Struthio camelus: one gene and its partners. The protein of the gene in region 2 interacts with the protein of the main gene of each other region in a biochemical or structural test. Links are inferred from orthologs where the notes say so. Each region holds a gene or a part of one and is shown on either strand. Other genes may lie near its edges.

What was found. The genes of interacting proteins can lie anywhere in the genome.
Region 1: of the proteins of MAPT (region 2) and CASP3, one has a biochemical effect on the other in vitro, tested with the Homo sapiens proteins (3 studies listed by BioGRID). The link is inferred for Struthio camelus from reciprocal best matches to the Homo sapiens genes MAPT and CASP3.
Region 3: of the proteins of MAPT (region 2) and HTRA1, one has a biochemical effect on the other in vitro, tested with the Homo sapiens proteins (2 studies listed by BioGRID and IntAct, with this or other methods). The link is inferred for Struthio camelus from reciprocal best matches to the Homo sapiens genes MAPT and HTRA1.

What each region holds. Positions count from the first base shown.
Region 1 is NC_090945.1:51,137,636-51,147,429, forward strand, and holds the start of CASP3 (caspase-3), read right to left. Parts: upstream 4,717-9,794; 5' UTR 4,331-4,716; exon of another isoform or gene 4,312-4,330; intron 3,845-4,311; exon of another isoform or gene 3,689-3,844; intron 1,748-3,688; exon of another isoform or gene 1,724-1,747; intron 1-1,723. Other genes in the region: PRIMPOL (DNA-directed primase/polymerase protein), read left to right, coding at 6,412-6,499, 7,763-7,956, 9,170-9,261. UniProt on the Homo sapiens protein: Thiol protease that acts as a major effector caspase involved in the execution phase of apoptosis. Following cleavage and activation by initiator caspases (CASP8, CASP9 and/or CASP10), mediates execution of apoptosis by catalyzing cleavage of many proteins.
Region 2 is NC_090966.1:4,565,334-4,575,285, reverse strand, and holds the start of MAPT (microtubule-associated protein tau), read left to right. Parts: upstream 1-5,526; 5' UTR 5,527-5,608; intron 5,609-9,952. UniProt on the Homo sapiens protein: Promotes microtubule assembly and stability, and might be involved in the establishment and maintenance of neuronal polarity.
Region 3 is NC_090948.1:5,705,886-5,716,532, forward strand, and holds the start of HTRA1 (serine protease HTRA1), read right to left. Parts: upstream 4,717-10,647; 5' UTR 4,696-4,716; coding exon 4,248-4,695; intron 1-4,247. UniProt on the Homo sapiens protein: Serine protease with a variety of targets, including extracellular matrix proteins such as fibronectin. HTRA1-generated fibronectin fragments further induce synovial cells to up-regulate MMP1 and MMP3 production.

The DNA.
Region 1 (9,794 bases), on a different chromosome or scaffold from region 2:
ATCCAAAACCAAGCAATATAAGTTATCTGATGTCTGCAAAGACTAACATACACGATTAGATACTAGGACAAAGAATTTTGCTAAATAAGTCATTTTTATGCATGCTGTTTCACAAAAAAACATCACTGCATCCGATCGCAACTGGGGTAGATGAAGCAAACGCAGTAAAAATAACACAGAAACCCAACAACATAACTTTAAATAGTTGATGGAAAGAGTGCTATACTGCGGGCTGCTATTGACTTTTGATCAGAACATGGGCAGGGAAATGATGAATGATACCAAGGCAGAAATGAACAACAATAACGCTCCCTCTTAGTTACTCTGTGTATAGTCATGGAACACATTCCTACAAGTTATCTTTCACCCAGGATTCAGAAAAGGATTAAGCATTATATAAAGTTAAATCATCAGGTAGGACAAAGCAGTAAATGCTTAGACCACAAGAAACAGTCTCGACACTACAAGGTAAGAAATGTAAAGAAACTTGCTTAGCAGGCGGATTATGTTGATTTATGGTTAAAAGGAGATATATAAATAGCCAGAACAAGTAGTAAGTTTTGTTGGATGGAAAAGATGAAGATTCTTATTTAAATCTATGTGAGGCTGGCAACTATATTTGCCACCTGACACAGTCATATTATTGTCTGTTAATTTCATACTTATACTCTAGCTAATACACCTTGCAACCACACATTTTCCATGACAGTAATTACTAATGCCTCCGAAGCACCAATCTGAGCATATATAACCTTCTCTCTTTCCTTGTTTCTTAAAGACAAACTTATTTATAGTTTAGTGGCTTCAAAAGATGTTCGAGGTTGCTCTGAATACTATTCTCTGTAACTGGGAGTGCTGATGCAATTAAGAAATCTTCTTGCTCATAACATGATTCCAGGCTGTGAACTATATCATATAAACTAGCAGCACACAGAAGATTCCCTGAAAAACAAACTCCAAAAGCATCAAATAAACTTGACATCTTTTATTTTAGAAATTGACTTTAAAGACAACAGCATAGCATAGGCCAGCAACTAGGTCTAGGGTGTTGAACACAGATCATGCCAGCACTATGATCTGGATTCATTTTTCCCAACTTGGAGGTTTAATATCTTGTAAGTTCCCTATGTAAAGAAAGACAAGCTCTTACGAAACTTAAGTTAAGTACCTGAGAGCTGAATCACTCTTCAGAGATGCCTCTTTCTCTCGATTTGACTCTAGAAAAACCTAGGGCAATTGTGCTCTTGCCTGTGGCACTGCCGTCATCCAGCCCTATGCCATACCATTGGGCAAGGAGCACCAGTGACAACTAATGGGTCCAGAGTGACAACCTCCTTGACTTTGTTGCAACCTTAATTTACAACTGCTGTCCCTGATCCCAAGCCACAGAAACAATGAAAGTTGCAGAAGTGGCTAGCAGAGAATAGAATTATAATGAACTACAATAGTTTGTTTTTGAAAAATGCAAGACATTTTGCAATACTATATTATAAATATATTTTTTACTAAAGCCTTTGCAAGCCTCGTTTCAATTGCTGAAGGAATTGTTAGATCTTAGTGCATTCTATTAGTGCATCTTGGGTGGAGCTTGTCCAAGCGTCTGTACAGAAGCTGGAGAGATACTGAAGAAAAAACTGTGTATAATGCCCACTTGCTTAATATTTGAACATTACGCATTTACAAATTCATCTGCCTCATCTTCAGAATAGAATCTGTAACTTACCTTTAAATTCCATAGACTTTCGAGAACCTTAAAGCACCAATTCACCTGTACTTCTTTAAAGAACAAAAGATATCCAAAAAGAGGTACCTGTCTTATTGCTGGGCTCTCAAATGCACGCTTTATCAGCAGTACTTTTTCTGCCCTACAGCACTAACGTCAGAGTAGCAGCAGTGCTGTCAGAGGACAACGCTGATTCTAACCGAGTACTAAGAATTACCTCATCCTAGTTTAGGTAATGCAATGAGGTCATGCTCTCTCAAGTGGAATACACATTTCCCTGTAGAGGATGATCTCATGCTAGCAGGGATGGTGAGCGGCAGGGGAGAAACCTTTCAGGAAAATATGTTAAGAATTTAATTAAAGTTGTTATTCTGCTCCTTGATATTCTTTTCTCTAAAACCTTAGGTGAGAAGAGCTTTCAACTATATGGAAACTTAAAGATCAAGTAGCTGATGAACAACAGCATTTTTAATCTAGCAGAACATTTTCTGTAAGTTTTAGGAAGCTTATTTTGATAGCTCTTTCTACATTATTTTATTTGAAAAACTTGATAATATTTAAAAATCCTGTGAGGCAGGGATAGAAGGTGTAAATAAAGATAATCTTACAATCATATTTGGAAGTATTAAGCAGTAAAGAATAAGCTTCTTGAAAGGGGTCCAAAATCTAGAGCTGTCAGCAAGCTCTGAGAAATGACTGAAGTAATAGCTTATATGTATAGCAATAAAACCAAAAATATATTTTGCCCTAGATAAATGCAATTGTTCTAATTCTTTTCTTTTGACAGACTAATGATAAATAAAAAAAATGTGTTTACCCTAGTCCAGCCTCTTATTCCACCTGAACCTAACAAAATTAAATTCACATAATCTTTATCACTATTGTCATAAGAACCATCAAATTTTTATTCAAAATAATACTTGCCTGAATATTGAGCCATACGAGACAAGTTAACAATACAGAGATAAAAATAATACCAAAGCTTCTCAGACAGGAAAGGAAGCAAATAACCCATCTCTAGTTACCAACCATACCCTGAAATATGCAAACCACAGCAGACAAGAGAACACATGTTCAGTATAAGCCAGCTGCTACAAAGCAACGATCATAGCAGTACAAAAACATGTCTCAAACGGAATCCAAGATCATAAAACGTATCTATAAAGACTGCCAAAGGGCACAGTTTTCCACCTCACATGCTTGCAAAAGAAAACGTCAAACATTCAAGGCAGCTTTTTTTAATGTATATGGATAAGGAACATTGCAATACCAATGCAGACATGCAAAATTAATAGTTTACATTATATAATGTATATTGATAATTAGATAATAGCAGAAGGAAAATATATAAATTGTCTATAAGAAAAAACAAAAAAAATTTTGAAAAATATCATATTTTCTGTGTGATATTACACCATTATCAAATGCTGCTTCCCTTGATGGAAGCATGCCAATATTGTGACAGCACTTCACGCTGCTTCTAGCCTGGATGTGGTTGCTGAAAAGCACTGACACCGGGCCAGCAGTCTGATCTTCCAAAGACAAACAGATTTAGTTAATCAGCATTGATGTGTCAACTCAGCACATTGAAAATTTATTCCCAGAATACACAGGGCCTTTGCTTATTCATCCATCTATACCTATTAGCTACATTATCACCACAACCAATAACGTTAAGGAGCCTGATCGGCTGCTAGGGGCAAAGAGTATATTTTTAAGCCTGCCTACTAACCACAAGCAGAAACTCAGAAGAACTACAACTATTAGCTGGAGAATCAAAGAGTAGATTACCTATACTATCCTTCAATCTAGCAGCGAACGGACCGACAATACCTTGGACAGGGACATCTACATGCTATAAAAACTTAGGGTAACAGTTTCTGTCAAGTGAGTGACTCAAGTATGTTGATATTTTTCCCTGTATTTGCAGGATCAGAACGTTAAGAGGCAAGTAAACACTCTTACCACCGCATTCGTGAATCTGATCTCAGGATGAATCTTAGCTAACACACATCCAGCATTTTGTTAAGAACTGGGTCACTGAACTGCCGTTTTTCGGACAAGACTTGACCTGCTGTCTCCAAAGAGTTGTTTTGGTAAATCCAAGTGCAGTTTTTGGCCCTAGGTTTCAAGTCAGTTAATAGTCTATCAGAGGGACACTGGAAAGTAGTTTTTTAAGTTTAGTAATCTTTTCCACACACACACACACACACAAATGCTCCCATCAAAATAAGAAACGATTAGTTTTAAGCTTCTGGTAAATCAATAATCCACCCCAATCCAGGTGTTCCTGTCCCCCACCCCCCACGGCCACGGCCACAGCCCATCGCCGAGGCGCCGGGGCTGCTCTCGCAACGCTCTCCCCAGCCAGCGGAAAGGGCAGGGCCGGCAGCCACCTCGGGTGTGCTCGAGGTAACTGCCCCGCGGCCACCGCTCCGCTCTAACGAAACATAACAAAAGCCGCCGGCAGGACAAAGGCATCGCTTTGTCCTGCTCCTGCCCCGGCGGCCTGCGGCCGAGGGCGCCGCCGCTTTGTCCGGCCCTGCCGCCGCGCCCGGGCCCGCCCGCCCGGCAAACCCCGCGCCTACCTCCGCCGCCCTTACCCACCGGCTCGTCCCCCTTGCGCGGCGCTGCTCTCCCGACCTGGCCTCCTCTCCCGGGGCTGGGCGGCGAGGGAAGGAGCCACCGCCTTGTGCGAGGGCCTCACTGGCTCCGCCCCGCGCGGGGAGGGGACGGCGGCGGGGGAGGGCCGGGCCAACGGCGGCGCGCTCAAACGCCAACGGCAGCCGGCCGCGCGCGGGCCCGCGGCGGTGAGTCGGGGTCCGCGGCGGGGGGGGGTCTTCCCCCCCCCCCGGCCTCATCGCCCCTCGGGGCGCAGGGGGAGCCGCGCTGCGGGAAGGCGCCGCCAGGAGGGCGGGGGCGGTGAACCCGGCCGTTGGGGCCGTTGGGAGCGCGGCCGAGGGGCCGCCCGCCCTGCCGGCTCTCGCCGGGGCGGGGCGGGGGGGGCGGGGGGGGAGGAGGCCGCTGTGCGTGCGCGGCCGCGCTGTGAGGAGGAGGAGGAGGAGGAGGAGGAGGCGGCGGCGGCGCGCGCTGCTGCTGCTCTTCGGGCGCCGCCCCGCCCGAATTGTCACTCATAATTTCTTCATGTTTGGACCTGGTGATGTTCTTGTTACCACCACCAGTTACGTCGTGCTGGTAAACTGCAGGTCCTTATATTCTTAGCATAAAGATCTCAAAACCTAGTCGGAGTTCCCTGGTGTTTTATAACATTCAGACCATGATAATGTGTGAAGTGTTTAAATATGGTCGTTGCTGTAGCTTACAGAGAACCTAATGAAGTCTGTGCTGGCACATGGGTGACAAATTAGCAGTCATGCATTTTGATTGTGATTGTGCCTGAATTACACCTGCACCGCAAGTGCGGAAGTGCCCAAGCAGGCTTTAAGTTGCGTTGCGTACCAGGCCTCTTACAGCTGCCTGAGCATAAAACTTGGTTGTTTCCTCTGTACGCTGCAGTGGAAATACCGCTTGTTTGTGTTTGAATTTGCGTAACCTGGATATGTGTTTTGTTTCAGTTCTTCTGTGTGCTGAAAAATTAATGTGTTTCTGGCAGTCCAAACAAGTGGTTGATTATGATCGTAAATAAATTGCAGGGGATGAATAGCATATGAGAGGGCATCTTTCTGGTTTCAGTGATCAGAAGAAATACAGATATACTGAACTGTATCAGAGCAGGCCCTTCCACTTATGATGGATTTTATCTCCCATGGCTACGTGATGCAAACTTGGAAATTGTACAGCTTAGCAATGAATGTAGTCTGAATCCCTTCTTACTAGAATCTGAATGCCCTGCCATGCGCTCTTATGCAATAGCTGTTTGAATGTAAGAGGTAGTTCCTGCTTCATTATGAACTTTAGGGTCAGTTGTTTACTTTCTTATTCGTATATTGACCTTTAGTAGCAAAAAGCAGGGTAAATTCAAGATCAAAAACTAAATTTTCCAACCTGTCGAAATAGGCACTTGCTTGCTTTTTGATAGTCTTTCATCAAAGGGGGAAATGAAATGCAGAGTTTGTGATCTCCCGGGAGATATGTTTTCTGAATGTCTTCATATGCTATCAAAAACAGTGAAGTACAAACATGCTGATGACAAAATTTCTTTCTGGGGAGTGAAATGAATATAATTATTCCCATTCCTTCTGGTGGGAAGGAACTGAATGAAAACGGAGTCAGAATTTCCATGTAAACTCAGGTGGCTTACTAGTCTGTAGGTCTAAACTGTACATGCTCTAAGTAGATGTGTTACGTTGGGTATATTTGGTATAGGAGCTGAAGTTATTTTCGAAAGACCTGAGACATTGGACTGCTGAGAATCCATGAACGTTTGGACTGAAAAAAAAAGTGACAGATCTCAATTTAAAGTAAGAGGCATCATCCTTTGCTCAGACTCGAGTATCCCTGTAGAAATTGTTTCTGCAAAAAATATTCCTAAATAGGAAGTTTAAAATGAGTGTAGGATTACGGGAATTCTCCTTTGCCTCCCTCCTCTTTAACTGTGACCTTGTGGGAGGGTGCTGAGGTAGCGAATCTCTATTGTCCTTCTGCACTGAATTAATTTACAGCAACGCAAACAGTATCAAAACGAAACCAAAGGTTCTGCTGCTTCTGAGAAATGCTGATTGCCATCTATGATTTCTCTTTGCATTGCCAAGGAAGAAATTGATTGCATGAAGAGGAAGGGAGTGGAGGAAGTTCATAGGTCAACAGGCTGTCAAGGTCTGCAGACATGGTATATTTGGCCCCTGTAAGAGGAAAAAGCATTCTGTTGTTTAGGCTTGACCTGGGCACTACACCTTTAAACCTTTAAGGCAGGTTTAAGTGTACCATGGGCATAAATGCTGGAGTCCAGAACACTTCGCTGTGGAAAACTTGGAGGGGGACTCAGAGGATGTAGAATTTGGGCTTTGGTGCCCACAGGGATATTTAAATATTTAAATTCACCTTGCGTATCCAGTCTGTTAAAGGTATGAAGGCTTTTGAGTATAGTTAGTTTTGTTTTCTCTTTTATTGCAAGTGGCATGTTGTTAGGTGTACCAAGCGTTGGTTAAGTGATAATCCTAAATGGAATAAAAAGATGCATCTGAGTCTTTTCCACTCCTTTTCCCTCTTCTTCTGTTTCAGTTTTTTAGGAATGTTCTTAATCATTTGTAGGCATTTTGAATGGCAATAATTTTTTTTCAGGAAAAAAAGGTAGTAAAACTTGCAAATAATTATACCTCTGTTATGTTTAGGTACTTTTGTGTTTTACGTTGCTTTACAGCATGTGGATCCCTTTATGTTAAAGGTTGCATGACAGCAAGCATTACTGTGTCACATACCATTTCTTGAGAACAGACAGGGTTGCTATTTTAGGTTTGCAAGGAAGCACAGAAAACATGAGATTTTTAAAGCAGGTGAAACTATTACTGATCAATAGCTAAGTTCAGCATCAGAGAATGGAGCACTCATTTAGGATTTCAGTTCTTTTACTTTGAGACACAGAGCTCAGAGCTAGGTCACTGAAATCTTAATTTTTGCTTAGGAACTCAAGTGATTTATTACCCATATAAATCAATTACCCTGTTTTTTTTCTCCAGCCATAAAGTATTTGCCATAAAGCAGAAACCATAGCATTTTTGCACTCGTTACTAATCATGTGAGGCTAATTAAGACAGTTTTGTGTACTCTTGTACAGAGTGTAATACTGTTCTGTAAATCAAAATTAAACTTCTTGTGCATTCCCTTACTTCATCTTTTCTGTGTGTTGATCTTTGATTGAATTAATATGAAAATAAATGATCTTTACCAGAACTGCGTGGAAAGATTAAATGTTAAGGAAGGACTATCATAGTTAAATTGGGTGTTGGTTTTGAATATTGGCCATACTAGGTGAATAAATAATGAATGCTCAACAAATAAAGAATCAAAAGCAGAGGTGGGCATAGGGTATATTACAATTGAATCACAAACAGAAATTGATACTGATTTGGCTATTTGCAGTTGCTTTAGGAGAAATGAAGAGAAAATGGGAAGAAAGACTGAAGAAAGTTGAAGAACTAGCATCTCACTATGAAAGAAACCCTCTTCTTCCAGTTTACAGACCAAAGCTGTCCAAACCTTTTCAACCATCCCCTGTTTGGAAAATATTTTGTCGGCAGGCTGAAGCTTTTCACTATGTAAAAACCTGTGAAGAGGTACATCGTTTGTTAAATGTCTTTGCTCTTTGAGTACTTTCAATATTTGATTTCATTTAAAAGCCTGGTTAATAGTAAAGTCTTTAGCAGATTGCAGGATACTTTTGTTTTGAAAACCTGAAACGTCAATTAATTTTTTTGATCTTTGTAGAAGATCATGATGCACTGAAGTGAACTCTAATAAGTACTAGATAATAAGAATTGTACTCTAATAAGAATTGATATGTGATGTTAGCTTGAAACAGCAGAGGTGCTTTCTGGCAACATTGTAGTGATAGATTTATTCCTCAAGATAAGCAAGCTGGCAGGGTTAGCAGGAGAATAGTAAAGAGAGTCAGGTAGGAAGAAAGAGGAGAAAATATTGGGGGGGGAGGGGGGAGGAAAAAAGAGGTAGAAACTCAGCAAAATATATATATTTTTGTGTATTGGGTAAGCATTTGGAAGCAAAGCCTCAACAGCAAGAGGCACTATTTTTTGCTATCTATTCACTTAAAAGGATGTACACATAAATGTCCTGCTGCCACAGATTTCCTGTGCTGGCTGTGGACAAGACAGTTTTAGGCTGCCTCTAGTTCCCCACATGTGAAAAAGGCACAGTTTTTTGTTGTCCCGTGCTGCAGGAGATACGGGGTCTGTTACATTAAGAGTGTAAAATAGTCAGATACTGTGACTTTGGGGGCTTTTAAAATAACTTATTGGAAGGCTATTGCTCTCAGTCTCTTTCAGACTGTTCTGACAGTTGGTTTTCCTAAACATATTCTCACCAGCTCAGCAGTGGTTTTTTTTTGGTTTTGCCTTTGGATTTCTATTTTTGGATTTAAATAATATAGAATCTAAGGAATATTTGTTATAAAGCCATATGCAGACATCACATCAGTGAGAATATTCTTTACAGAACATTGTTTCTCCTTCCATTAAATGCGCTTGCTGTGATCAGAAAGAAAAAAGATTTTACTGAGCAAATAGAATTTACATTGATGTAATTTCATCATAGGTTTGTTAATCTCAACTTATTCAAATTTATAATCACATAACTGAAATTAGAAAGAACTTCTTAATTAAAAACAGATGTTTCTTAGGTTAGAAAAGGGTAAGTGATATACTTAGTTTTCTCATTTTTTTACTAACTTTTGATGAAATAAGTTAGTGTCAGGAACTTCTGAAAATTTTAATTAATTCTCAAAGCAACCTAACTTTTTGTTTGTTTGAAAAGGATGTTCATGTATTTGCCTTGGAAAAGAACACACAAAATGGACAGAGGTTTTACCTTGTGACAACATATTATGAGCTTTGGTTTTATTATGCGTAAGTATTCAAAAAAGACCCCTATACTTTACTGATGGTCGGTCAGTACAGCTCTGAGTAGCACAGAGCTGTAATAGTTTGCCTGAGGTTTGATCTTGGCCTTAGGTAAAGTCTACATAATGAAAAATCATTCTATTATATAGTGTTTTCAACATTTTTTTTTGAGTTGCAAACCTCCATTATTTCCTATGAATTGAAGTCCTCATGTCTAGTGAACTTAAATCTAATAGCAGTAGATTTACTTTTCCTGCTAGCTTTCTTCAGAGGATCACACTGACATACAATACAAATATATTTCCATGATTAGTGATATATCAGTTTAAATGCATATTAATATAAATGTCTGATTAACAACATACAGTTTTGCTTTGGCTTGATGAACAGTTTCAAGTATTGACAATCTGATCATGCACTGAATATCTTCAGTGGTTTTTCACAGTAAAACATCTGGTTATGAAGCAAAAGAAATCTAAGGTTTTGGTTTTTTTTTTTTTTAGAACTGTAAACTTGATTTTTTTTCCTCAACTTGAATA
Region 2 (9,952 bases):
TAGCTTTATTTATGAAGAGGAGAGGGCACTGGAGTGCCCTTCCTGGCCTTGGGAGGGGGATGCAGTTAGAAATGTGCTGCTGTGTTGGAGGTGAGGCCCTCAGGGTAGGCAGCTGCTGCGTCTCATGGCATTTGGTGGTGGTGATGACTGATGTTGCCAAGAGCGGGTATAAGCACTAGGTGTTTCCTTGTTGCCTCTGCAGGTGGGCAGGTGCTGTGTGAACTGTGCCTCTGCCCAAGGACTTGCCCCTGTCTGGCATGTTGAAACATCATCTCTACTTAAAACAGTTGTTTGGACTTGTTCTGGTTGTACCTTTGCTGCCAGTGTGTGTGTTCCCTGTGGCAACTCCTGGGTCCTTCTGTGCAAAGACCTCAGCTCTTTGAAAATGTTTGTGTTCCCGGCAGTGTTTTAATCTAGAAAAAAGATGCTTTATGCTCTCTGCTGTCCTTGCTAGTTTATGGGCTAGTGGGAGAGTAACAGAGTGAAAGGTGAAGCTGAAGGGTGTCTTGGGTGCCTGCCAGGCAGAGGTGTTGCCTGATGCTGTAATGTGAACTGATAACAGCAGATGGCTCTCGAAGTCCCTCTGAAATCAGGACAGCCAGCCACTGTTAGTGAGAACAGGCTCTGGTCTGGCCCTGTACAGCCCCAGCAGGTAACAAGTAGCAGCTGATTGCAGGGGCCTAGGGTAGAACTAGGACAAAACCAGTCTTTCCCCTGGTGTGTCCTGCTGAGCTGCAGCCCGGAGGTTTCCTGGTGCCGTTGTATTTGAGTGCATGAGATAACTCTGCTGCAAAGCCTATTAGTGTCACTGCATAATGCAATCTTTTATCTTGGAGCAAGATTGAACTCTTTCTCCGCCTTAAACTCAGGGAGGAAAGGCTATGCTGGTACCTACATGCATCTCTGCTCTCTCCTAAGACTGCCATCCCCTGGCAGGAGCTGGAGAGGCTTCAGGGCCAGGCACTCCACAGCTGGCCCCTATCAGGCTGTGATGTGAGCAGGAACAGTTTAGGGCTTTGGAGTCCCAAGACACAGTGGTGTTTGGTGAGCAGGCTGGTTCACCCCAGAGTGTGACGTTCCTTGTCTCACCATAGAGCTGGCAGAGCTGCGGTGGTGGCCCCCCTCCAGGAGGGAAAGGCCCTTTCGATCACTAGCCTCTCTGTGAAGTTTGTCAACAAAGCGGGCAGCTAATGCCAGGGCAGTGACCAGACTTCAGCCCCATGAGCTGGTGCTGGGATTTGGGTGGAGGCTGTAAATACCCCAGGGCTGTGCTGCTAAGCAGAAGGAGAGGAGCTGTAGCCTGGATAAGGAGAAACAAGATCTAGAGTTCTCCCCAAACGCTCACTGCCCTCCTGTGATACCAAGTCCAAGTGAGTGTAAGCTTCAAGTTCATGGCTTCAGTTCACAGGATAAATTCATGCACGTAACAAGTCAATGCTTTCGGTAACTCCTTAACCAGTTACCAGACAACTCAGCCCATTACGGGTACACAAGCTTTACATGATCTGGAATGTCCCTTGTAGCAGAAAGTTTCAAAATGAAAAGGGGTTAACTTACCAAAAAAAAAAAACTTAGGGGTATTGGGTCTTGTCTTCTGTTGGTAGGTGTTGGGCTCTGCATGCCTTCCACATTAGTCAGCTGAGAAGAAAAAGGTATAATCTTTTTTCAGCTGGGGTGCAGGGAAACACAGAGGTGAGTGTAAGGGTATTACCTGGTCTCTGGTCCCCAAGAGGTTAACCTCAATTTGTCAAGTCTCTCCACTTGCAAAAGTGATCGGAAGGAAAGTGATAAATTTGCTTTCCTGGTGCTCAGTGCTGTTCCTAGAGGAGAGGACCTTGCCGGCTGGCTCTTTCTGCTGAGTCACGGCCTGCTTGCTGCCTGCACCATTGCAATGCCGCGGGTGTTTCTCTGATTTCTGTCTTTGCAGCCCCACTGGCCTCAGCGGGGTTTACAGAGGGGTATCGTGCTCCATTTTGCCTGTCTGTGAAAATGAAATGTAAGCTGATTTTGCTTGGAGAGAACTGCAAAATATGTATGTAGCAAATATGTGTGGGGAACGGAGCCAGCTGTGCTCTAATCCCCCCTCGTGCCTGGAGCTGCTGGGAAAGGTTTGCAGAAGGCGACAGCTTTGTTTGGCTCTGCTCAGAGCCGGCCTGGGTAATGCCCGCTTTCCTGCAGTTGCTAACAGCATACAGGCACGGCTGGGAAAGCTGCTTGTGTAATGCCCAGTTCCCTGCTGAGATCTCCATGGTGAGGCTTCAAAGCCCAGCGAGCCCTCCTGAAACCTTGCTGGCCCCCTGGTCTGGTGCCATGTGCGCGTTAGTGGCTGTGTCCTGGGAAGCAAGTCTGGGGCCTGTGTCTGCCTGGGGCTTCCTTGTTTAGGAAGGGATCATCTTGTGGTTTATGAGCAGGCGATAGCATCTGGAATTGTTTCAGAAACATCAATCCTGTCTCCTTGCTACAAACCATTTGGAAAGCGATTAACCCATTTTCTTTGCTTAGGTGAACTTTAATGGCCAAGTTGCAAAAGGCGTGGGTATTGTAATGGAGTTAAGCTAGTGCAGAATTTGAGTATTTATTTCAGCTAGGCTCATTATGGTTTTGCAAAGGCCACCCTTAATCTGAATTAAGTGACTGAAATGAAGCAGTTTGAAGACAAACAAGGCCTTGGGGATGTTAGTCTTAAAACCCTTATAACCCAGCAATTGTCACACAGCTGCAGTTCTGCAGGTCAATTCCCACTCCAGGCAAGGCCTGAGAAATCATGTCTTGGCTTTCGTAGCACCTGTCATAGGAAACCTTGAGGCAGTTCTGAAACAAGTTGCAAAACTCACCTGCAAGGAAGATGAGCCCTGTTTTGTGGATGAAGAAACAGCTATGGAAGCTACAAGTCTAATGCAAAGTTGCTAAGCATCACATTTTAAAGGAAAACATAGTAGCTTGTTTCCAGCTAGCAGTAGTCCAAGCCTAAAGGGAAGAAAGAAGGAGCCTGGAGCAAGTTTAAAGTTGCAGGAGAAACTTCTCTTTCCTTGCAAAAATACCCTATAAACAAGAAGTAGCCAGAACAGCTCCATGCAGTAATTAATGTCTACTTTAGCTGTCAGCCTGCTGTGCGTACAGGTAAGAAATGGCTACAGTGTTTCTCTGCAGTTCCTGTTGGCTGGGTGAGAAGCCCTGGCAATTACTGTGAGCTCATTCCACTTGGGGCTCAGAGCGCTGAGCAGCGCTTCAGGACTCGCGCTGCTCCAGCAGTTCCCGTAACATCTCAGTATTGCTGCAGCAGCAACCTGCGCCCATGCCATGCAGAACGGGGTGCGCCTCTGTGGTGCAAGGAGTGGAGATGGAGGTTTGCTGGGCACCGACCTGAGACGTAGTACAAAATGCAGACCTTGCTGCGCGGTGGGGTTTCACATCAAAGAGGTGGATTTGCAGCGAGCTAGCATGTGTGATGTGGGGAGTCAGGACACCCGAACAAGGGATTCTTCTCCCAATTGCTACCTCTTTGTGACATGGACATTCAGCCAACGCTGAGGCCCTGCAGGGTGTTAGTAAGGAGGAAAATATGGGTGTAGATTTGATTATTTCTTTGCAGTAATCTTGTTTACCAAGAATATCCATGGGGTCCTGCTTCTCTGAACACAGTGTTAAACAGCAAGTCTGTGCTCATGGTGCCCTTCTGTAGCCAGTCCTGCTTATGGTGCTCTTAGCATCTTTTTATTTCCAAGTGCTGTACCACTAGGCTTAAGGGCAGGAAGGTGCTTGGCTGTACAACAGCAGTCCTGGAGGACTGAACTATGGGGGAGTCGTTGCTGTTGTGTTCCTCCAGGCTGGCAGTACTGTAAGCCACCAGCTGATGCATCTTACTCTTGGCTAGCCTTTGCTGGCAGATCTTCTACATGGCCATAATGTGGTGAGAGTGATGTGCCTGTACATTGGTTGGGACTGGCTAATGATACTTGCCAGTCTGTGACTTCTTGGATCCAAAAGGGACTCGGTGCTTGGTGACCCAAGCAAAGTCAGGCAGGCGAATGTGAGCTTTGATTGAGAGGGCTTCAAGAAGTCCAGATTTGATTATCCAGAATAACTTGTGTTGGGACGTTAAGGCAGGGAGTGTCTTCTGGTTTTTGCCCTCCTCAAAAGAAGAAATGGTCATATTAGAGGAGGAGCAGCTGAGCAGCTGATTGCCAGTGCAGTCAGTCTTGTGTTCCTGGTACATCTGTACCGCCTGTAGGAAGAGCTGCTGTTCCACAATTGGACTCTAGCTGCTTGCACTGTAAGTTCAAATTCAGCTTGTTTTATGTTGTCTCACAAGGATGGATCCCCTCATAGCTTACTTCATTTTACAGTTCCCAAAGCGGTGATATTTCTCACAGAACATGTATTTACCTTGGGGAAATTCTCCAACCAATTTACAGCATAATGTCAATTCATGGCATTCTTAAGCCAGTTAAAAATGGACAGGGGAAAAAAAGGTTTTTATGTCTCGCCCCTTTCTACTGACCTGATAAAACCACCTCATGGCCGCATGTTCAGAAATCCAGATCTCCACCTCGCTCACTGTTCATCATTTGACAGTACTCGTGCAGGTATTAACGCTGCTGTAACACATAAGGGCTCTGGCTCTCCATAGGGCTATGAGACACCTTGAGACCTTTGTTCCAAAACGAGATGGACCATTCCCAACCAGTAGTTGTCTAGTATGCTTTAAACCTCTGGTGCTGCAGGCTCCACATCTGTTTCTCTTTCTCTCTCTTGTGCTGCTTTTCCCTTCCTGACCTGTGTCAGAAGCCTGTCCTTAGATCAGACGCTTGCCCTTGATTTGCACCTGAATGATGCCCGGGGGAAAAAACGAAACCTTGAGCCTGTCTGACAAGGGATCCCTCCTGCAGTTTCTCCACTAAATCCAATTACCAAGCATAGTAACCGTGTAACGCAAGGCAGGAAGGCCATGGTGGGATCTCTGCTGTGTCCATAAGCCTCTGGAGCGCCTGGCTGCCCTCGCAGGTGGAGGGGGATCTTCTGGGAGCAGCGGGGAGCATGAGTTGCCCCTTCAGGTGGGGCTGCATTGGATGGTGGGGCAGCCCCGAAGCTCCTTGCATCACCTGGGGGCAGGAGGTGGGGTAACGTGTCACCTGTCGGCCCCTTCCCACAGGTGTGGGTCCCCCCCGCCCTGCCCCGAGGTGGTGTCCGGGGGAGGCGGCAGCGCGGGAAGGGGCTGAGGCGGCCACCGGCGTAAAATGGCGGTTGGGGGGGGGGAGGAGAGCGCGCGGGCGCCCCCTGTGGGCGGGGCGAGGCGCGCCCCCGCTTCCCGCAGACAAAAGACGGCGCTGGCCCCTCCCTCCCCCTTCCAACCTCTCACCGCGCATGCGCCGGCCTGAGCGCTGGCGGAGGGGCTCTCTGTGTGTGTGTGTGGGGGGGGGTGAGCGCCACTCGGCGCATGCGCCCTGCCTCCCTCTCCACCCCCCACCACCCCCCCCCCCGGCTCGGCGAAGGTTCCGGAGCTCGCGCGCGCCCCCCGCCCCGCCCCCGGCTCGCGCCGCCCCGCCCCGCCCGCGCCGCCGCTGTCACTCGCCGCGCGGCTCCGGTGCGGACTCTCCTGCAGCGGCAGGTAGGCGGCACCGGGCCCCCGACCGGCGGAGGGAGCCTTCGGGGCCGGGGAGGGTATATTTGGGGGGAGGAAAGGTGCTGCGCGGCTGGCCGCCGCTCTCCGCTCGGGCAGCCGCGCGTTTCGCTGTCCCCGTGCTAAAACGCAGAAAACGGGCGGGGGTGGGGAACCCGTTTGAGGGCCCCCCCAAAAAAAAAATTAAAAAATCGCGGAGGGGCGTGTCCCCTCTCCCTCCCGTTACCGGGCCCGGTTATCCGAGGGGGCCGCCCCCTTGCAGCCTGCCCGCTGCAGCAGTGCGAGGGGCGGCCCCTGCGGCAGCGCTGCCGCCCGGCTGCAGGTGCGCGGCGGCGTGGGGGGCGGCCGGGGGAGGGGGGGGGCTTTTTTTGAATTATGATTTCCCCCTTTCCCTCCTTTTTGGCGTTTTTTGCCCCCCGTTCCCTGCGGCAGGTGGGGCTGGGGGGCTGTGCCGGCGGGGCTGCGGCAGGAGGGGTGGGCTGCGCGGTGCCATCTTCTGTAGCCGCCCTCCTGGGAGGCAGGGACCAGCTGTAATTAAAATAATAGTAATTAAAAAAAAAAAACCAAAACCGTGAGGAGAAGGTGTGTCAGAAATCAGAGCTGCCCCTGTTTAGCCTAAAAATTGGGGGTGCCACGCGCTATTGAGGTCACGGTGCCCCGGAGTTGCCTTGCTTTGTTGCATCGCCCCAGATGCAGAGGGGAAAACGTTAACGATACGCTCGCCTAAGGTGGGTTTTAACGCTACTCAAAGGTGGGCTTTTTTTTCAGCCGGGCTGGGGATGCTGGTGCCCACCCCGGCGGGTTTGGGGCAGGAGCGCTCCCCCCTGCTGCGCGTGCCCTCCGTGCCCAAAACCGCTCCGGCCGGGGCGCGAGGCTGGCCCCCTTCCCGGGGTTTGCCTTGTGAGAGGGGTATTTTTTTCCCCTTTAACTGCTGGGCATCTCTTTGTTTTAAGTCTTAACTTCACAGGGGGGAAAGGGAAGTTTTCTCGGCAGGTATTTCCAGGCGCGATGCGTGGCACACCTGCCCTCCTGGCTTTGAGCAATTAAGCCCGTTAAGAGCGATAAGGGCTTACTTCAGGTGAGGGATGGAGATCTCTGCCTGCGTTTTGTCTGCTGTGCTAGTGTAAGGGAGGATTCAGCTGGGAAGATGGTTATTAACACCTCGAAAAGCAGTCCTGCTGGTGGTTGGGAGAGGGCAGCTGCCATCGCTCTAGAGGGAGTTTCTCCTTCCATTTGCTTGCAGTAGCACCACGCGAGGTGCAGCTCCATTTGCAGCGCGAGGCTGGTCTTGCTTGGAAACTGGCTCGCTGGAAGGAGCAGCTGAGATGAGCTAAGCTGTCACTTCAGCAATTTGCATGCAACGTATTTCTTAGTTGCCCTGCATTTATCTGTGTGGATCTAGGCAGATGTCTAAAGCGTGTCTGAATGAATGGGACAAAATTCACTACTGAGAAACACTGATTTGTTCTGCCAAGCAATGGCTGCCCTCTGTGAAGGTTTTCTACCTTTGTTGCCAGTGTCTCAGATTTGGGATGTTTAATCTAGTGGTTTACCGTATGCAGCTCATTTTGTGTGTGTGTTTTTTCTCAAGGTGGACAATGAAAACAGGCTTGTCAATTCTCAGTTGGATATTTACAGGCTGCTCTTGAGAGAGGGAATGTTAAAGTGCCATTTCTTCTAAGAATGGGAAATAATCTAACCCAGTTATGCTTTGTTCCATTGTGATGTGTGAAATGCTTTTTTTTTTTTTTTCCTTCCTCCTGACTGCACATGTAAGGAGAAAAGTAAGGTTGAGGCTTTTCAGTATTTTGTATCAGGTGTGAATTATTCCCCTGGATTTCCTCCTCCTTGGTCTTGATAGAGTAATGATATTTGGAAGGAGGTATGGCTTTGGCATGCTTCCCTGTGCAGTCCCCAGTTGTTAACAGAAGTACCTCATGCTGCTGAACGTCCTTGGAAATTAAGGCTTTAAGCCTTTGGAATTAAGATGCAGGTGGGATGTAGTTTAGTTTTTTTTTTATTTTGTGTGTTTGTGTTTTTTTTTTTTTGTTTGAGACCCAGCTCTTGTGCTCAAGGACAACATGACTTCTCTTTCAGAGGTACCATGGCCTTGGTCGTTTGAGACTCCATCTTCTTCCATAAGGCTTTTTTGCAATATAACAGGATTGTAGAACGGTTAAGTCCTGAACAGGCAGAGCTTAAAATGAAATATCAATGAGCTCAGTTTATTGCAAGATCTAATGGCGAGAAGCTGAACCCTGAGAAACTTGGACTAAAACAGGTATATCTGATTTAATGACAAAGTGTGAAGTGTGCTTGTCATTGTTTGAAGCCTTTAATGAAGACTCTGTGCCCCTCTCTGGGCTGTTTGTTCAGCCCGGCTCTGGAACAGCTTGTTGGTGGTCTGCAGGCTTTCAGGTGAACTTGTTGCAAAGGTCCCAGCTGACATGCTCTCCAGGTGCATTGAGATGATATTTTGCTCTCCTGGGTGGAGAGCACTTTTAGCTATTCCAGAAGGAAACAGACCTGCAGTTCTCAGCAGATAAATCTCCACCTTGTGGGGCAGATGGCATCACAGATAAGGATGTTTCTACTTCATCAAGGCTAGATTAGCTGGGATGAGGCCAAAAGTGTCACAAAGAGGAGACAGGTACCAGTCCTGCAGGTGAAGATGCAGGTGATGAGTGCTGCTTGTTGGGGCTGTAGCCCAGGAATGCAGATCTGGCTCTGCACATATACACAGCAAAAACATGGGCTTTTTAAAAGCCTCATTTACTCTTTTTAAAATGCTGCTTTAAGTATTTTCAGATCATGCTTCTAATTTAATCTTCTGTGTCAGTTCCTCCTGTGGTCTCAGATAGCCTTGCTGCCCTCTGCTTCCAGCCTCTTCCTTTCCAAGGCCCTTTGCCTAAACAGTCCTCCTCCCTCTGTGCTTAATAAACTGCAATTTCAGCAGGACCCAGCTCATCCAAGCAAGCCTTACTTAAACTGTCCTGAAAAAGCAGTGCTGCAGCTCTTGCTCTCACTTCCCTCCTTGAAAGCCGTGGGGAGATAAATCTGTTTTCCCTTCTTCAGGGTAGAAGGGAGGGAAATGTGACATTGCAACAGCTTTTTCCAAGTTGATGCTGGGCCCAGTGCATCTAGTCAGGGTCACCTGGAGCGGGCCAGTAAGGTGGCTTTCCTAATCCTCTGCCTTTTGTGCTCCTCTGCCTCTTTGTGAACACCCCCGTTCTTCGTTGCCTATTTGCGTGCCTCAGTTGCGTTGCCTTCTCTGTCGCTTAGGGTGTCGCCAGCCACAGAGTTTGGAAGGGTTTGGGTACCACATTGTTCCCCGTGTGCTCGCTGGGGCTTGGTAGGATGGTTTTTCTTACAGTGTAGTAGCAGGGAGTAGACCTTTAAATCTTCATTTGGAAGTTGGGCTTTGGAGTGTCATGGGGCTGCTAGAAATGGCTGGGGGAAGGACACATTTAAAATGCAGTTGAGCTGGGCTGTGGTTTATCTTCGCAGCTTCTTCTGAAGGCTTATGCTCGTCAACATCAGAGTAACAAATTGTCCTGGCATTTACAGCAACGCAACTGTAACTGCATTGCCTGTTGGAGTCCCTGCGTTTGCCTGTATGGGTGTTTGGTGTTGCTGTTTGAGATGCTGGTGCTGTGTTGTGTCTATGTCCAAACTTCCAGACAAATCCCTTTTGGTTTGTGGAGCGTTGAAAATTGGATCGTGAAGCAGTGTCTGTGGGGAAGTGCTGAGGGTGGCCGTTCCCTTGTTTCCCAGTAGGAACACTTATTCAGAAGCTGGAAGAAGTTGCCGATTTGAGTTTTGTCTTGAGCAGAATAAGCTTATTTTGCCAGCCCAGTGCACTGATGAGGCTTGTTTGCTCTGTCTGCCCCTTTTGAAGGAGCGCTACTAATTTAGCTGTAGCAACCTGACAATGCTGACACTTGATGAATTAGTCAAAAAAGAACCAGGGCACTGGCTTCAACCCAGCTCCCAGCATTTTCCAGTTTGCTTAGCCTGCTGGTTGGTGAAGTCAGTCAGCTGGCAGGTTGGCTTATTGCTTCCCAGGCTGTATTGGCTGTGTGTAGATGTAGGGCTGAAAAATCAAAGCAGGAAGCTCATAGTGAAGTGCCCTGAACTTGTGACAGGCTCACAGGTCCTTTATCTGGGTGATGTTGAGAGGATGTGCAGTGCATTGCACCCATCTGTTGGAGCTGCTGGAGCAAAGCATAGGTTTAGGAGGGTTGTGGATCTTGTGGCTCTGCATGCAGATAAAGCTGTCAGCCTCTCAACAGTGGAGTTGTATGTTGTGCTTTCTGGGTATATGGTTTGCTC
Region 3 (10,647 bases), on a different chromosome or scaffold from region 2:
TCATCTGACCCACCCGATTTTAACATATGAGTCTATACAGGGTGCTTTCAGCCCTGCTCCCATCCCATGGCTCCAGTGAACATCAGTTAAACATACTTAACTTCCTGGCTAAAGGCAATAGTCTGACTTTCCCCTCCTCAGTCTGCCTATTCCTGCAGTTTCTCCAGACACGGCCAATCTAGCCCTCATCCCTTTCTGTTTCAGGAGTCCCCATGTATTTCCTTTGAGCGTCTGTCTGGCTTGCAGTGCTGGCTGCAGGATGATCCTGCATCCCCAGAATGCATCACTACAGTGCAGCTGACCACCTCAGCGTGACACATTTGCACCTTGCCAGGAGCCATTCTCTCACCAGAGTTTAGGTCCAACGCTGGAGCGAGGCTGGGAAGGCTTGTGAAATTTTAAGCTTGTTAAGACTTTTTAAGACATAGGAAAACATCACCCCTGTATACACATAGGCCCAGAGCAACCTTGTCCCCTACTTCTCCCTCATCCCTTCATAAGCACACCCTATATTTGAACAGATGCTTTGAGAAACATTAAAGGAAAGACAAAAGCAGCACTCCAGAATGAGCTATGATAGATGAAAACTGCAAAAGACAAAAAGCTGTACTTCATATTTGCATCTTCAGGGTCTTCTGGCAGCCATATTATTTGAAACAGGGCTAACAATCCTAGAAATGGCCCACCATTACATTCTTCCGATAAGAATACTTAAAAACACAAGACAAAGCAAAGCAGTTTGCCGATGATACCAGATTGGGAGGAGTGGCTGATACACCAAAGGGCTGTGCTGCCATTCAGAGGGACCTCGACAGGTGGAGAAATGGGCAGAGAGGAACCTCATGAAATTCAACAGAGGCAAGTGCAGGGTCCTCCACCTGGGGAGGAATAACCCCAGGCACCAGTACAGGCTGGGGGCTGACCTGCTGGAAAGCAGCTCTGCCGAGGAGGACCTGGGAGTCCTGATGGACAACAAGTCGACCATGGGCCAGCAATGTGCCCTTGCAGCCAAGAAGGCCAATGGGATCCTGGGCTGCGTTAGGAAAAGAGTTGCCAGCAGGTCGAGGGAGGGGATCCTGCCCCTCTCCTCAGCCCTGGAGAGGCCTCCCCTGGAGTACTGTGTCCAGTTCTGGGCTCCCCAGGACAAGAGGGACATGGAGCTACTGCAGCGAGTCCAGCAGGGGGCTACTATGATGACGAAGGGACAGGAACATCTCTCCTATGAGGAAAGGCTGAGGGGAGCTGGGCCTGTTCAGCCTGCAGAAGAGAAGACTGAGGGGGGATCTGATCCATGTGTACAAGTATCTGAAGGGAAGGTGTCAAGAGGATGGGGCCAGACCCTTCTCCGTGGTGCCCAGCCACAGGGCAAGAGGCAACGGGCACAAACTGAAACACAGGAAGTTCTGTCTGAACATGAGGAAGAACTTCTTTCCTGTGAGGGTGACAGAGCACTGGAACAGGTTGCCCAGAGAGGTTGTGGAGCCTCCTCCTCTGGAGTTATTCAAAAGCTGTCTGGGTAGTGTTCTAGGTGACCCTGCTTGAGGGGTCAGTGCTCTAGGTGACCCTGCAGGGGGGTTGGGCTAGATGATCTCTAGAGGTCCCTTCCAACCTCAACTATTCTGTGATTCTGTGAATTGCTGAGGTAATCTAGCAAAGCAGAGCTTGGGGTTTCTGTGGTTTCATTCTGCTTATGATATGTTACTATGAACATATAAAAATATTTTATCAAAGATAACTCCATCAGGAGGTAGAAAAAGCACTGTTGAAAATGAAGCCAAAATAAAAAAGTAACAGCTCTCCAAGGAGTCACATATTAGGCAGTGCCTTTTCTAAATAAAGAGTGGTTCAACCTGCCTCTAGGGAAAGCTTTACAGGCCATTCCACATTTCTTTTTATTTTAGGTTCTTTACATTTGAAGAAAGTTTTGCTTGCAGCAAAGTTTGCTCCGTATGAGGGATAAAGCACACTACTGATTGGCTTTTCTAGTAGCTTCCTTTTGTCCCTACTGATATAGATGTTAAACCGAGCCCCAACCAGAGATGCAACAGGGGCAAACTGGTTGTCTGAACATAAGTGGGATATGATGCATCTCCTAGAGCTGAGCTGTCCTGTAACAAAACAACAACAACAAAAAATCACTGTTTAGGACATCTGCAAAGTGCCAAGCTGTAAAATGAGCCAATTCCATCCTATGTATTTTCATTACAACCTACAGGAGATATGCATTACTCATTAGCTCAAAGACAGCCCAGAGTTTTCTGCTGAACGTGCAGCAGAAAAGACTGTGAGACAACAATATTGATTTTATAAATTGAGGATAAAATCACAAAGCATTGTATTGTACTGTAGATCAGGAAACTATAGCGTGAAAGCTTTAATTGTTTGTCTTCACCAGTAAATGCCAGCAATGTTCCACTGGAACACAACATAGCCTTTAAACTGCGGGGAAAACCAGGGGTACAAAAAAGCTGATTGTATGACACAAGAGTTACAAATTGGATCTCTAAGGCTTCAAGATCAGGACTGTGCCCGAGTAGAGCACAGCCACTATGCTTCTGCTGGATAGATGAGGGATAAATACTGGGGAAAAAAGCACAGAAGTTTCTAAAGAAAGAAGTGTGCAGAAATAGTACAACTTAAAATAGAAGGATCGATTTTTAAGAAAATAGCATTGACTTACTAAAATATGACTACTGCTTCAGAAATAAAGCCTTAATTCATACTAATCTTTACATATTATCCCCTAACAGTACTGAGTGATTAGAAAGGAACATATAACCTTAGCCCACAAAAATTAAACCAATCTGTATTAGCAGCTGCAAAAACGCATCTTGCAAGCACAACAGAAGGGAACAGATCATCTGACCTTTGTCTAGCAGTCTGCTTTTGTCTTGCTGTGCCCTGTACTAGCCATCACTAGAAATAAGATTGCACACTCCACAGGGCTGTCCAGTACAGCGATTTCCTGTGTAGAGCAACAGTTTCATAACCCAGTAATTTGTCTTTACATGATTTACAAGTAATTAGCATTAGCAATCTGTCCTGCAGCACTGAGAATGCAGTTACGTCCAATTCAATCAAAGTAACTACAACTAAATAATAATGCTAAAGGGAAATTACTATACTTCCTTACTACTAGCTATACTGCTGTTTCTTGATGACCACTCCCTTCTCCTCCTCCAAAAAAAACATAAAATCAGCCTAATATGCTGCTCAGTTTTAAGCTTCCCCCTCTCCAGCAAAGCTGGAAGTCATAATCAGTGCCTCTGATAAAATGGGCAAAGGCAGCCAACTGCCTGCTCTGCTGACATGGACATACTGCTTGCATTTACTGTAATCAGATTTTAACACCGTCTGTGTTCTTGATTTTATTTCCCCAGGGTATTTCTTTGTGGTAAAGAGCCTGGCTGTAAATGCCCTCAGAAGGACATCCCCAAACACAGCTGCGGGGCTCAGCCGGGTACAGACTTTCCAAGTTCTGAAGCTAATTTCCCCCAACTCCGAGCCTTGCATCCTCCTCAAGGGTTACTTTTCTGGGTGGAGGGAGGGAGAGAAGGAGATGTTTAGTTTCAAAGTGGACATAGGATTCTTTTCCCCTGACGCTTGGCGGACTACAAACACTGCATTCTTGCTCTAGTTTCTCACTGAACTTGAATGCCACGCTTCAGCCAAGGACAGCCCTTTCCTTTGGTCCTCTCCTAATAATGCCAGCCATAAACTAGGATGCCTGACTGCTGCAGAGCGGCTTGCGTTTCAGCAGTGGGATCCCTCCCAAGAAGGCATGCATCACCTTAAGCAACAGAGCCCTGAGGATAAAACTCCTCACCCTGGGTCAGCTCGCTCCAGCGGCCAAACCTCAGTCCTTGCAAAGCCCCAACTCCCCAGCACCCACCAACTCCAGACTAAGGCCATACCTCTCCTCCTCCCTCCCCCCCCCCCATGCAGCTGTGCAAACTGCAGCTGGAAAGGGAACTCGCTGAGCACAGAAGACTGACACTTGCAGGTAAGGGAAGCGCAATGGGAACCACGGTTTAACCGTTATTTCCCTGCTTATCCCCCATTTTCAAGAAGGGCATGAGAATCCCGGCATGACCGCTGCTTTCCTGCTTCTCCCGGGGTTTTGACAGGCGGGCGAGAACCACGACTTCACTGCTGCCTCGCTGCTCAGCCGGCGCTGTCGGCAGGCGCCCGAGAGGCAGGACCCGACCCCCCCCGTCCCCAGCCGCGGGGCCGGGCGCTGCCCTTACCCTGCCCGCAGGCGCCGCGCTGGATGGCGATGACGGGCGGCTGGCGGAGGCGCTCGGCGCGGCGGCTGGCGGCCCGCAGCTGGCAGGGGCTGGCGTAGGTGACGGCGTCGCTGCCGCAGACGGGCTCGTTGCTGGCGCAGAGGCAGCGCCCGGCGGCCGCCCGTTTGCGCACGGTGCCCGAAGCGGGCACGGCACCGGCGGGTACGACGCACTGGAGCCCCTCACCGCACGGCGGGCCGCCGCCGTTGCCGCCGCCGCAGGGCTCGCCCTCCTCCGCCCCGCAGACGCGGCAGCAGCCGCAGGCGTCCAGCACGGCGCCGGCGGGGCAGGCGGCGGGCAGCGGCGGGCAGCGCGCCCGCTCGCAGCGCTCGGGGCAGGCGGGCGGCGGGGCGGCGGCGGCGGCGGGCAGCAGCGCCGCCAGCAGCAGGCTCCAGCCCCACAGCGGCATCGCGGCGGCGAGGCGAGGCGAAGCGCGGAGCGGCGCGGAGCGGAGCGGCGGCTTTAAGCGGCGGCGCGGCTTTAAGCGGGGGGGGGGCGGCGCGGAGCGGGGCGGGGAGGCGGCGAGCGCCGCCGCAGGTTGGCACTGCCAGGGCGCCCACCCCCCGCCCCGCCCCATCTATCTTTTTCTCCCCCCCCCCCTTCTTGTTTTTTTTTATTTTTTTTGCAAAAACTTTTTGACTGCATTTTTGTTTCTTCACCCACCTCACGTGCCTCACAAACAGGACTCGGTGCTGGACAGGAAATGAAGGGGAAGCGATTAAGACCCGCGACCGCGCTTCTCGGCGCCTCGTTGCAGCCCAGAAGGCTGCCAAAAAGGGCTTCTGGTTGTTGGCCTTCAAAGGCAGTGCTCCTCCAGAGCACCGAGGGCCTGACACACGGGTGAAGCAGCTGTTAATCGACCGAGAACGCTCGTAAGAGGCTTCTGACAAAGAGGGAGTAAAGTTCAACGCTTTTCCAGGATTTACCCGAAAGGCAATCTGAAATAAGCCTTAATGGCATTTCTTTCCGCCAGAAAAATAAGTAGACACGAAGGCCAGGGCGCTCCACCAGTAACCTGAAGGAATTAGTTAGGGGCTTTCGTTCAAACACATGTTAAGGTATGCAAATGCCAGGTCATCCATCCAGCAAGAATGCAAGGTATTCCTGCAGAGGAGGGGTCTGAGAAAGTCGTGACTGAAAGTCGAGTTGATCACTGGTGGTTAACCGCATTTCTGTTATCTGAGGGTGCAGTCCCATTCCAAGCCTAATCGGATTTAAGAGAAGGCTGCTCCCGAGACAGGTGTGCTCTTCCCCTCTCTCCCTGCACATTCCTGCCACTTCACTTTATCTAGGCTCCTCTCAGCTTTGGGGTGAGGTGGATACTCACAATTAACAGGTTAACCAACCAAAAAAGAGTACTCTTCCATCCCATCCATGGTCAGCGGGCTGATCCAATTTATCTTGCACTCGTGCAACTGCCAGAACCTGCAGAACAGATGCTGCCGAGAAACTGCCTCGGGGTAGACTAAGCTTTGCACAAAATTGCATCCCTCAGGTGTAATAAATAGGTTTTGATAGGATACTGATTAAGGAGGTCTCTCCCTCCCCTCCCTACAAACCAATCTATCATCACTGGACAAACATCTGGAAGACAGATCTAGACCCGCAGGCTAGACATCTTTTCTCCTACAAAAAATGGAATAATCTTAAACTAACAACCACCTAAGCAGGTAGAAGAACATATCATGTGTCAGAACTCAAACCTAATTGTCCCCAGGAACATTATGAAATATTATCAGACAGTGACCACAAAAATACAAGTGTCCAAACTGACTGGAATGCTCGGTTGATAACTGAAGGTGGAAGAGCAGGTAGAATCCAGCATTCCAATTAAAAACCCTAAATAAGAACCCCTTAAATTTGCTCCTTTCCAATAACTTCAACGCTGTGCAAGAGGAGAGATTTCAGGAGAATTACCCAATTCGAGAAGTGACCGAAATACTAAAGCAGTCATCTGGAACAATTAACGGCAACAATTAACAATTAATTTAGATTATTAGAATTTTTGCGATTTTTAAAAAAGTCTAAGAGAAAGTTTGAAAACATTTACAAGTTTAAATAATTCATTTAAAATGTATTTATATATATTGACATGCTAAGGTAAAATATGCTTCCAAATTACTATTTGTGTAACCGTTGCTTATCTGGCTACTTTTGATAAGCTTCAGCATTTTTCTTTACTTTGAAATAAGGACTAGTCTTCAAGGAAAGATGACAGTTTGCAGCAGAAAAATAAGAAACAGAGGTTCAGAAAAGACTGCTGAAGCTCCTGTTTGGAAACAGGAGGAAAATACTCAGACCAATGAATTACTATGGGGTTTAGTCTTCCCCCACACCCAAAAGGCTGTTTGTTTTTCTATCAAAACCTTTGTTTGCTTGCTTACAATAGGTTTTTGAAGTCACAGGACTGTTATCTCCATAGGTAGGAAAAAATTGCATGCAGTTGGAAAGCTCCTTCTTCAGTCATCCTTTCTCCATGGATGTGTTCTACCTTTGTAGCTGAGTATCCTTTGATATTGGTCATTCTAGGGAGCAAAGGCAAGACACGAACAGACGTTCAAAAATGTTAACAAAAGCCCTGTTGAAAGAAGCCTGTCTGGAATAGTTATAATTTACTAAGTCAATACCTAGTTAAAGCACTAAACTGAACGAACACGTCCTTACATCAATTAAAGATGAATTCAAAAACAAAAATACCAAATGTTTGCTTAGCTGTTTGGCTTAGAGATTTAAAAATCTGAAGCTAAACATTTAACTACTTCAAGAACTACTGCAGGTTAGTAGTGTCGCATAAAAAATCTGAAACACCAGTTGTATACATTTATCTTTCCCATTGTGTTTTTTTCCCCCATAACTCATCTGTCAGCACCATCAGTTTCAACCTCCTTTACCAACAAGCTAAAAATCTATATAATACACTAGTCAATTTTTTTATACTACTAGTACAGAAAATGTGAAAGTACATTTATTAATAGAATCAAAGGTAAAAAACTGCACCACAAGCATAGAACATAACCCGAAGTCTTACCTAAAAGTCACAATTGTCAGTCCACTTTCAAGTAAGTAGACTAGCATTTCCAAAACATGATGACCCTCTGCTGTCATGTTTTCTGAACCAGGTAAAGATGTGAATATTCTATTCAGTATTAAAAATTCAATTTTTATTATATGAGTTTTATAGGCTTCACGTATTTTTTGATCAAGACAAAAGAAAGCAAATATCTCACTTTCCAGAATAACCGAGATTACGTTTTTTTTTTTTTTTTAGGTGTAATATCCTTATTTACTGACAAATATATATTTGTTAGTGACCCACCTGTGTAGAAGTGCCTTACACCTCACAGGTACTGTAATCCTAGAAATTATTTTCCCTCCTCATTATAATCCCCACAAAATAGTTATCCAAAGCCAAAAAACATTTACCAATACTGAAAAACAACTGATCTGAAAAATACTTATGCTTTTAGCACTAAGATAATTCTTCCAAAAAGAAAAAGTTTTGCTAGTGCTGTTAGTGATCCAGAATTTGCCCCAACATTCAGTCTCTGCTGTATTTACTGACCTTTTTAGCTCACAGGAAAGCAGCAGGACTGAAAAGGTGAGCCGTTCCTGTAGCAACAGCGATGACAGTATGGTTAGATTACCTGTTCTGAAAGTAAGTTTTCCTGGATGCCCATGAACAAGGTGATACATCCTGGGTTACATGGGAACATTTACTGACTTAGAAAACCCAGTTTCAGAGAGCAGGAAAACGTTTTGCGGTATGGGGTGCTATCTCCAGTGGTTTCCTGTGCAAAGGAAGGAGCAAGAGAAGCCAGCAGCACTTGCCGCAGGACTCTTACATTGTACTGAACAATGGGGAAAAGGGTCAGACTTTGGAAAAAAACATCTGGGAAGACATGGAAAAGGTGGATAATAGCAACAAGCAGCAAGTATAGAGAATTAGAAAGTATTTTTGGCAGGAGGAAAAGGGGTTCAGATTATAATCTCAGGCAAGAAGGGTCCTGGCCAGAAGACAGGATAGAAGTTTGGGATTACTGGAGTGCCTATATTCTTAGTAAATCCAAATAGCTTGGAATTTGCAGAAAGTTTTTCTAGGTTTATCAAGACTGCGTTATCATTTTGCTTCATTCATTAGTGGCTTTCTCCCAGATTTTCTGTGAAAAAGAAAGAAGTGCCCTTGCTGTCCTGCATGTTTGGCCATTCTACAAACATTCTACAAAGAAAAGTGCAAATATTATCCTTCAGACAGGTTATAAAACAAGCATTGATGATTCAGTAAAATATGAAGTAAAATCTAATTTATCAGCTACACACAATGCACCGATATGACAACATGCAGGTAACACACCTATAAGAAATCTAAGTAATGTCTGTTCTATAATGTGCTCAGTTACCATTACGAGAATCACAGCGTTAGGAATGTAGTGCAACAGAGTGGTTTAAATTCTTAAAAGATGTGTTCACTATGTGTATAGATGTGCAAAATTACAGTGCTGACATAAGCTTTAAATGCAAAGCCCTAATTAAAAAGTCAAAGCTAGCACTTCAAGAAGGAATGTTATACTATTACTACTACACCATTACATAGTGCCTTTACAAATGAGGTTCCCCCCCCCCCCCACAGAAAGTTTGCACAGAAAATCTGAAACGAAATACTAAACCCAAGCCCAATATTTGTGACATGATGCAGTTACACAATAGGATTCATGCTTAACTTTCTGGAGTAACCTTCATTACTTCAGTGGAACCTAGCAGAAGTACCATGTACTTCAGCAACTTATTGGCTTGGAGCCTCAAATAGTTGTATAGATTGTGCTCCAAAATAGAGATGGGTGTTAAAACGTTAAATATAACGTATAAAAGGGTAAAACCATACATAGCACCGAATGTTTCAAACCCATTCTTTTATTCCATTTTAACCTTTAGGCTAAAAACTTGCTGTCCCAGTATCCCTTTCTTTCACTTTTTCCCCCACTCTCTTCTACCTCAAATAAATATGCAACCTGGCTAAGAAAATTAATGCCCCCAAAATTTCACTGTGAAGGTATGTGGGACAGAAACTAATTTCTCCTTCCATTATAATACGAAGTTCCTATACAGCTTAAAAAAATAGTCTTTGAATATTCACACTTTCTAACACATTAGCATTTCTACTTCACTTACCACATGATACTGCCATTATGACAGGGAATGCTCTGTGATACAGTGTCCATTTTTAACTCCTTTTCATATAGAATTTTGACTTTTGAACACAGCGCACCTTGCAGTTGCAAAAACTAAAAGTTTAAAAGGCCAGGAAAAAAAAAAAAAAAGAGCAAAATAGTAGCTCAGTTAGGGGGAAGAATAAGTTTCAAACTGATTAGTTCTCCCCCTACAATCTGTAGCCCTGATTAAGCTGGTCCACCTCCATCACACACTCTCTCATATCTTTGTGTCACATTATTTCCCCTCCCATAACCAGCAGAGATTTTTGTTTCCTTTATAGTCCAAAAGTTTAAAAGGTGGTACTCAGATGTGACGTTTTACAGGTCCTGCTGACGAGCTGCATTTAGATAACCAGTTTCCCAGCTACGCTCCAGAACTTTTACACTTCAGTAATTGAATGTCAGCTAGCTCAAATTAAGACCTCTTAGTATAGAAAGTTATTGCCTTATACTAATAAATATCTGCAAGCCCTTCAAGCAGTAATTGAGACTAATGCATCAAATGTGCACTCTAACATACATGTGTTCGCTTATCACTCAAAAAAGGATGCTCTTTCCAGACTGCATTACTACCTAGCTATTTGCAATAGGTTTCTCTTGCACTGCTTTATCATATGAAAGTGTCAGCTGTTTAAGACTGATATTTCATTAATGCTGTATTTTGTGTTTTGGAAACAGCATCGCTTCCTTGGGGAAATTGCTTTTTCAGACTATAAATGGTCAGTTTTTCAACTGTTTGTAATCGCCTTCCACAGTCAGCAGCATCAAAAGAAGCCTCATACTTTTATTATTCACTGGAAAAATTAACAGATCATTCACCTTTTTCCTGTAGCATTACAGCTTCCTCAGTAGTAAACTGATCTTGTAAACAACACCAGCAGGGAGGAAGAGCTGTTATGTTTTGTCTTCAGTGGATTTGCTACCATTGCCATTCAAAGTTTGCAAGGAGTAAAAGTTTTAACACTTTTCTAGAGCAGTTCAGTGACTTAACAATAGCGGATGGTTTCTATAAGGGCTTAAAAAAATCCACACAAAAACAACAAAAAACATTCAGAAGTATACTTCAAAGTAAACGCCCGAGTTTTTTAAAGCTATAGTATAACCTCTAGATGGTGCTAACATCTCACCACTCCATGTGGTTGATATGCCACTGG